2 linked regions of the Sus scrofa genome follow. The protein of the gene in region 2 purifies or fractionates together with the protein of the main gene of each other region. This does not show direct contact. Links are inferred from orthologs where the notes say so. Each region holds a gene or a part of one and is shown on either strand. Other genes may lie near its edges. The genes, in order: DLG4 and KCNJ4.

Region 1 (3,795 bases), on a different chromosome or scaffold from region 2:
AGAAATCCAATAAACACACAGCATTTCTTCGCAAACCTCTAGAAAGGTCATTGCCAGAGCCCAGGTCTGCCCACAACTCCTTGAACACGGATGAACGCTGTATCATCTCTACTCTCCTTCGGAGACCACTGTGCTGCCTGACAAGACTGAGGCTGCCCAGGGGAGTGGTCAGGGCCGGGCTACCTTGGCAGGGCCTCTTTCTGGGTCTGTCAGTGACCTAGGACCAAGCTCCAGCCCCTCACCCCCAAGCCCATTCTTCCTCATGACACGGGAGCTCTGCTGTGGAGGTTCCCTTCAAGGCCCCCCCTTTCGGGCCACCCTCTCCTGTCTGGGGGTGAGGGGCCGGTGGGTAAAGAAGGATCTGACTTCATCGGACCCAGCGCCATGCTGCCACCCTGCCTCCCTCCTCACCCGGGCCCCAAATAACCAGGCCACACACCAGGTTTCAAGTATCTGTCTCTTCCTTTCACTCTCTCGAAAGAAAAAATAAATAAATTGCAGAAGGCGGCAGCATTTCCAGTCGTCCCCTGGCTCCCGGACACCCGACCCCCAACCCTGCCCCCCTCCCCCCCACATTCCCACTCCCTAGACCCATCCCTCCCCGTTCCCCAAAAAAATCCCAGAAAAAAAAAAAAAAAGCCACAGTTAGACCTTCCACTCATGCAAACCGGCAAAGAAAAAAGGTGGGGGGCGTGTGGAAGGCAGGGGGCCCGCAGTGGGGTCCCCCCACGTATCCCCCCAAAAACCACCTTTGAGAGGAAAAAAAATGGAAAAAAAATAAATGAGAACTCAAGGGACGTGGGGAGTTATGATGGGGGCAGGGGTGACCCCAGACCCTGCCTCGGGAGAGCACGGAGCCCTGCAGCCCTGCAGCCCTGCAGCCCTACAGCCCTGCAGCCCTGCAGCGGGCGCTCCTGGAGGGGCCCTGACTTCTGGAATGTGTGTGGGAGGGGAGGGCAGGCGCCCCCGGGGGGTCTGTGTGTGCGCGCTGGGGGCGGGCAGGGCTCAGGGGTCCTGAGGAGCTCGGGCTCGGGACCAGGCGCCCGGCTCCCCCACCCCAGACCCCAGGTTCCTGGGGGCTCAGGAGCCCAGTTCTGGGGAGCGGGGATACATGCAGAGGAGCGTCCCCCCTCCAACGGGCTGGATCCGGTTAGAAAGGAAATAAATAAGAAGGGGTGGGAGGGAGGCTGGGTGCGAAGGGCTCGGGCAGTTCAGTCCAGACCAAGGGCCCCGGCAATGGAGGCAGGGCAAGTCCAGCCAAGCCAGGGAAGGAATCAGAGTCTCTCTCGGGCTGGGACCCAGATGTAGGGGCCTGAGAGGTCCTCGATGACACGCTTCACCTTGTGGTAGATCTCCTCAAAGCTGTCGCCCTCCACGATGGCTGCGGCGGAGGGAGCGGGGCGTCAGGCCCAGGGAAGGGAGGGGCACCTCGGCCTCACTTTCCCATCCAGGAGCCGCGGGGCTGCACCAGCCCAAAGGCGGCAGCTCTTTCTACATCACCCACCCAGAGGGGCCTCTTTTTTGACGCTGCGGCCGAAGACACCTGGCGCCCTGGCGGCGGGCTCGCCGCAGCCTCACCTGAGAAGCACTCTGTGAATTCCTGCTCCAGTTTGGAGGCTCTGTCGAAGGCTTTGCGGGCTTGCTCCTCTGTGATCCGCTTATTGATCTCTCTGCGGAGCAAGAGCCACACAGACCTCAGGGTGGTCCCTCAGCCCTCCGTCTCCTCCATCCAGGGATGTTAAGTCGCAGCCCTATTTTCTTTTCTTTTCCTTTCCGTTTTTTTTTTTTTTTTTTTTTTTTTTTTTGCTTTTTAGGGCCGCACTGGAGATACATGGAAGTTTCCAGGCTAGGGTCGAATTGGAGCTGTAGCTGCCAGCCTACACCACAGCCACAGCAACTCGGGATCTGAGCCGCATCACTGACCTACACCACAGCTCACGGCAACACCTCAAGCAAGGCCAGGGATCAAACCCGCATCCTCATGGATACTAATCGGATTCGTTTCCCCTGCACCACAACGGGAACTCTGCAACCCGTATTTTCCTAGTTGGAGCTTGATGCCAAGAGCACAACTTCCAAGATCCTCTGGGGCCACAGATAGGCCCCCTCCCCGTGACCCACCCCAGCCAGGTGTGGCCACTTCAGGGACCTCTCCAGCACCTCCTCCTTCCAGCCCGCACCCCAGTGAAGGGATTCAGCCTCTAACTCCCGAAAGCCCAGAGGCCCTGGCTCGCCCCAGCAGGTGTGTGCCCCAGGGGTTGCTGGGAGTTGTAGTCCTGCCTAGACCAGGGCAGGGAGGCAGAAAGAGGCCTGGGAGTCCCTGCATCCTCTGGGTGCCAACTCCAGGTGCAGACCCCCCTCAAGGGCTGCTGGAGCCACTGTCCAGGGTTCTGAGGGAAGAGTTCAACGCAGAGGCCTTCTGAGGCCCAGGGCCACAGGTGCGGGGAGCAGAGGGGAGGCCCCCCCGGGACCATACTCACAGAACATTCTCCAGGGAGCGGGGGCGGATGAAGATGGCGATAGGATGCAGGTGGGCCGCCTGCAGCCGCCGCACGGCATTGGCCGAGACGTCGAGGATGCAGTGCTTCCCCTGGGGGGCGGGCAGGGCGGGCGGAGGGGGGCCAGCAGGTGGTGGGAAAGGACAGACAGAGGTGCCAGGACAGGACACAGTATGCCAGAAGGTGGGGAACGGCAGATTCACCAAAAGGGAAATGACATGGATGTCGAAAGACACGTGGGCAGAGAAAGTTGAGGCAAGAAAGGTACAGACAGACAGAGTGAGGGACAGAAAAGGAGGCCGGCAGACAGAGAGCAAGGGAGGGGCCAGCACAGGAGGGAGGGATTGGGGGAATGGGCAGAGGGGTGAGGAACAGGCAGGGAGGGGACCCAAAAGATGGGGCAGAGCAAGGCAAGAGCGGGGTGGCGTCGACAGGTTGGGGAGAAAGCCCAGAAGGAGAAGGGAAGTGGGGTGGAGGGAGGAGGGCCGGGAGGACGGACAGAGGACAGACAGATGGAAGGAACAAGGAGAAGCAGATGGAGGGAGGAGAGGCAGATGGAGAAAGAAGCCGTGGAGGGAGAGAGGGCAGGGTGGGGGCATGGGGAAGAAGGAGGTGGCAGAGGAGTGGGAGACGGGAGCCGGGACCCCAGGGACGGGCAGGGGGAGGGGAGAGGACCCGAGGGGAGCCGGCAGAAGGGAGGGCCCAGAGGGGGGAGGCCGGGCCATCAAGGCCGAGGCCACAGGAGGAGAGGCAAAAATGGGGCAAGGAGGAGGGGAGGGGAGGGGACAGATGGCAGCACGGAGTTTGGGGTCAGGAACCGAGGGAGGGAGGCGGGGGCGGGGCCCGGGAAAGCAGGCAGGCGACAGAGTTGCCCAGGAGGAGGAGGAGGTGGAGGAGCGGAGCGGAGACCCAGCAGGGAAAGAGACAGACAGAGAGAGAGAGAGAGTTAGAGACAGCTGGAGGAAGGCCACAGGGCAGGGAGAGGGAGGAGGAAGAGGACGGGCCGCCGGCTCCTACCTGCTCTGCCACCTCTCGCACGGACTGGACGCTGGTTCCATACAGGTGGCTGTTGTACTGGCCGGCCTCGATGAACTTGTGTGCCTGGATGTCCTTCTCCATTTTCTCCCGGGACGACACAAAGTGGTAATCCCGGCCATCTATCTCATACTCCCGCTTGGGCCGTGTCGTATCTGCCGGGAAGTCACCCCAGCCCCCAAAGAGCTAACCGCCATCCGTCTAGCTTCAGCCCTGCCTTCGGCGCAGCCCCAGATGCCGGCCGAGGGGGGCAGAGCTGCCT
Region 2 (4,347 bases):
CTCCCCTCCTCACTCTGAGAGGCCAGCCTGGCTGGTCCCCGGACCCTCCAGGCCCAGGGCTGCCAGGGCTGCCCCCCCCCAGCACACCGCTCCAGCTCCATTTCCCACCGCCGCGAGTCTCCTGGTTACCATGTTGCTGGTTGTCATGTCGCTTCCATGTCCTCGTGACTCAGTGGTCCCCGCAGAGGGCCCCCCTCCTCCTCACACCCCCCTCGGCACACGCCCCCGCCTCCCCCAGATCCACATTAAGAACCAGCCCGCCCTGTAAGCCTACACTGTTCCTCCTCCCCTTCCCTCTTCCATCCTAAGCTAAGAAATCCTTTCACCGTATCTCCTAGGGCTCCTTCATTCTCTGCTCTGCAAATGTCAGGTAAGAACCTACTATGCTCCAGACTTGTGTCAGCTGCTTCCAGAGACCTGACCTAGTCTGCGAATCACTCAGCAACCCAAAGAAGTCAGTGCCGTCATCCCCACTTCCCAGGTGAAGAAACCGAGGCCCAGAGAGGTCCGGCCAGCTGCCCAAGGTCACCCAGGAGAAATTCAAGGCCAGCCCTGTCTAGTCCCAGTCACTCCAATACTTGCAGGAGAGAGGAGCTTCCCTTTCCAGGGTACACCCAAAGGTTCCTGAGGAAGAGGTCCCCAGCCCCAGGTCCCCCTCCTCGGATGCCGGACACTGCCCTTCTTGGTCAGTCCTCTAGTTCAGGCCACGTTCCCCCTCCCCGTTAGCTATGCCTCTTCCCAGAGGTAAAATGAGTCTTTACTTCCATTTGCTCTGCACTTTCCCAGCCTGTAGACAGCCCTCGGCTCCCTCGAGCCCAGCCCCCCCTCCCTTGGAGGTCAGTGGGACAGGGGACTGACTGCTGTCCTCATTCCACAGATGTGGAAGTTGAGGGCCAGGGAGGAGAGCGGCTTGCCCGTGGTGCTGGCCCCTCTGCCAGCTGAGCAGACTTCTAGGAGCCCAAATGGGGGCTACCCAAGGCCCACTGCCCAGTGGGGAAAACCCCAGGAAGAGCCCATCCCCCAGGAGAGAACCAAGTAGAATGTTCTAGGTTCAGCCCTCCAGACTCCGATTTGGCTATAGGTCAGCTCAACAGCCAACCGCCTTTGCTCCTGCCACACCGCACGGCAGCCCTGAGCCCAGTGCCCCCTTCCACATGTTGTCCCCTCATCCCAGGCCACGCCAGGACCACAGTTTGGCTCTCAGGCCCCCAAAGTCCTGCCAACAGCTCTCAAAAGTCCCAAAGCCATGGAGGTCACAAGACTGGATGTGGGGGAGAAACAGAATAGACATTCTACACACACACACACACACACACGCACACGCACACGCACACACACACAGGTCTGGCTCCTCTCTGGACCTTGCATGTGTGGCCCTTAGGCCTCCCTCCCTCAGCTCTCTGTTCCCTCAACCTGCTTCTTGGCATCCTCCTGCTCCGGAGGCCCCCGCCTGCTAACTATGCCAGGCAGCCCTCCACCTGTCTCTCGCCCACCCCCACCACCCCCCTGCACCCTCTCCCCATCTTAGAGCCTGGGCTCTGGAAACACAAGTGCCATGTAGATGCTGGTCAGGGGACACTGGGCACGGTTGCAGGGAAGTTTCCCTACTCCATCCAGACCTCTCTTTCCTGGTGCTCTCCGTCTAGGGAGGGAAGGCACTCTGGCCTCCCTCTGTGGCCTGTCGCCACCGCTGGGAAGCCTGAACTGCTTCATCCATCCCTGTCCACCCTCTCTAGGGTCTCAGGGCCCAAAGCAGGTGCTCAAAACGAGAGAAGAGGGATTTTGTTCTGTCAGGGCCATTTTGCAAACAGGCTGCAGTTGGGGAGGTGGATAGGAGACCCCCCCCCCCCTTTGCCACAAGTCATCTGCTTTGAAACTCCTCCAACCCAGTGTGACAACTGGGGGTGGGTGGAGGCAGGGAAAGGTCACGGCCGGGGCAAGAGGTCCAGGCCCTTTGCACTCACCTCTACCCCCCCTCCTGGCAGAAACCCAGACCTTGACGCTCCTGAGACGACGACGGACAGAGGACAGAGCTCCTCGGCTCCGGGGAAGTCGCCTGATCGCGCTGAACGCGCGCCCGGCGGCCGAAGCCCGGGTCAGGGGATAAGGTGCCGAGCGGGCGGGGCCCGAGCCGCCAGGCCCCGGGACACACACACATACACACGCACGCGGCGGGACAGACGGACGGACAGCGCCAGCGGCGAGCGCCGGCCGGGCTTACCGCGGGGCGCAGGGTCCGACGAGTCTCCGGGAGGCGGCGAGAGGCCGCTACATCCCACGGCGCAGTCGGGCGGGCAGCGTCCCGGGCCGGGAGCGGGGAGTCCCGGCGCCCCTTCCCCGCGAACTCGGCGGCCGGCCCCGCCCCCCTCCCCCGCTGCCTGTGGGTCTGTCCGTCGGTCCCCCGGTGTCCCGGCCTCCGGGCCGTCCCGCGCCGCTCCCCGCCGGCCGCCCAACTTTCAGCGCTGCCCCGCGCCGCGCCCTCGGCGCCGCCTCAGCTTCAGCATCGTCGGGCCCCGGGCCGGGGCTCAGAGCGCGGGGGTCCGGGGACCCATGGCGCTGGAGCCCCCCGCCCCCGCCGCCTTCTCTCCGCCGCCCCCACGGTTCTCTCGCTGTCCCTCGGCGCTGTCCCCCGCCCTGCGCTCCGCTCCCTGGCCCGCTGCGCTCGCCTCCGGCCCCGAGACCCCCGAAGCCGGCCGGCCCGGGCTCTGCCGCCCCCGCCCCCGCCGGCCCCCTCGGCTCTCGGTCTCTCGCAGTCTCTCCTGCCCGCCTGGGTCTCTCCGACTCTCCCCGCGGGCCCCTGTCTTCGTCTCCGTCGCCCTCCCGGTCTGTCCGCTGCCTTCCTCTGCCTCTGCCCTCTCTCCCCTGAGCGTCTCTGTCTCGCTCCGGGTCCCTGCCTCTGCCTCTCTCTCTCTCTGCCTCCCACTCTCGGTGCGGCCCCCGCGGTCTCGGACCCAGGCCCCCGCCTCTGCCGCGTCCCCGGCTCGCCCGGGAGCCCGAGCTCCCGCCGCCCGCGGCGCGCCGAGAACTCCCAACTCGCGGCACGCCGCCCCGCTTTGCGAGACTTTCGCCCCTCCTCACACGTGACCCGCGCCCCGCTGCGGAGGCCGCGCCCCCCCACCCCAGCCCCGGAGCCCCGGGCGGCCCGGGGGACCCGGCCCCGGCCCGTCCCCTCAGCCTAGCCCGGCATCACACCCCCTCCCACCCGCGGGCAGCGCCGGGCCGGGCAGGGGCTGGGGGCCGCGGGGGCCGCTCCTGTCCCAGATCCTGCCCGGGTTTTCCTCCTCCCTCCAGGAGCACTCCGCCCAGAACCCGCTCCGAGAATCCGCTCCCAGGTTTTCTCGCCCCCCAGGGGCAGGTGGAGAGGGTTCCTCCGCGCCGGGAAGGGAGTGGGTGGGATAGGGTCGGTACCCGGTTCCTCGGCTGCGGGCCACTCCCCTCGGCGGTTCCCTTCCCCTCCTGCAGGACTGGCCATTAAGGACCCTACGCACCCCGCCCCCGGGAGCCGGAGGTGTAACCCTCCTGGAGGGACCCTCACCATCCGCTGGGCAGCACCGCCCCGTTTGACAGACTGGGAAACTGGGTATCAGAAAGGGTCATAAGTTTGCCCAAGGTCACCCAGAGGTGGCAGAGCCGGGCCAAACCACAGTTTTTCCTTCTCTGCGTCCCCATCACCCCAAAATGTCTTTATAGGGAGGATCTCGCCCGTTTCCTTCTCATCTTGGGGGCGCACCGGTCTGGACCCCACACCAGTCTGGACTGTGGGGAGAAAGCCCCAGCTCCTCACAGCCCCTGGCGAGCCAGCCACTCCCGTGGCCATTCCTGCCACCTCACTCTGAGGATGCAGGAGGTTAGAGGATGTAGGGTGCGAGGATGAACGAATACCTGCAGTTAGATAGCCAGAAGGACTTCCCTGGGAGCCTGGCCATCTCTGACTGGCCCCAGTTAAGTGAGGGAGATTGGGGCACTCCAAGCCGGACCGAGAATTTACTGAACATAAAATCTCCAGCTCATCCTTCAAGCTGACCCTCTGAAGTTGCCGCAGGCACAGGAACCACCACACTTGAACCATCATGACTGTTCCCAATCCCCACAGTCCCTCCCCTCCTAAAAGGATTGCGTCCCAACTCCTCAGTGTGATGTACAGTCAGGTCCCACCTTATCTCACACCCCATATACCCACACATACACCACGATGCCTACAGATTCCCGAACACACCAGATGCTTCCACACCTCTCTGCCTTTGCACATGCTATTCTTCCTGCCTTAAATGCCCTTCCTGCTTCTCTGCTCTAAGAATTCCTGCTGTTTCCCAAGTCCAGCCTCCACGCCACCTCCCCTAGGAAGGC

What was found.
Region 1: the proteins of KCNJ4 (region 2) and DLG4 purify together in Homo sapiens (affinity purification with western blotting, with the first as the bait; 3 studies listed by BioGRID). This does not show direct contact. The link is inferred for Sus scrofa from reciprocal best matches to the Homo sapiens genes KCNJ4 and DLG4.

What each region holds. Positions count from the first base shown.
Region 1 is NC_010454.4:52,549,695-52,553,489, forward strand, and holds the end of DLG4 (disks large homolog 4), read right to left. Parts: intron 3,689-3,795; coding exon 3,516-3,688; intron 2,591-3,515; coding exon 2,481-2,590; intron 1,671-2,480; coding exon 1,579-1,670; intron 1,382-1,578; coding exon 1,275-1,381; 3' UTR 444-1,274; downstream 1-443. UniProt on the Homo sapiens protein: Postsynaptic scaffolding protein that plays a critical role in synaptogenesis and synaptic plasticity by providing a platform for the postsynaptic clustering of crucial synaptic proteins.
Region 2 is NC_010447.5:9,525,142-9,529,488, reverse strand, and holds the start of KCNJ4 (inward rectifier potassium channel 4), read right to left. Parts: upstream 3,091-4,347; 5' UTR 2,222-3,090; intron 1-2,221. UniProt on the Homo sapiens protein: Inward rectifier potassium channels are characterized by a greater tendency to allow potassium to flow into the cell rather than out of it.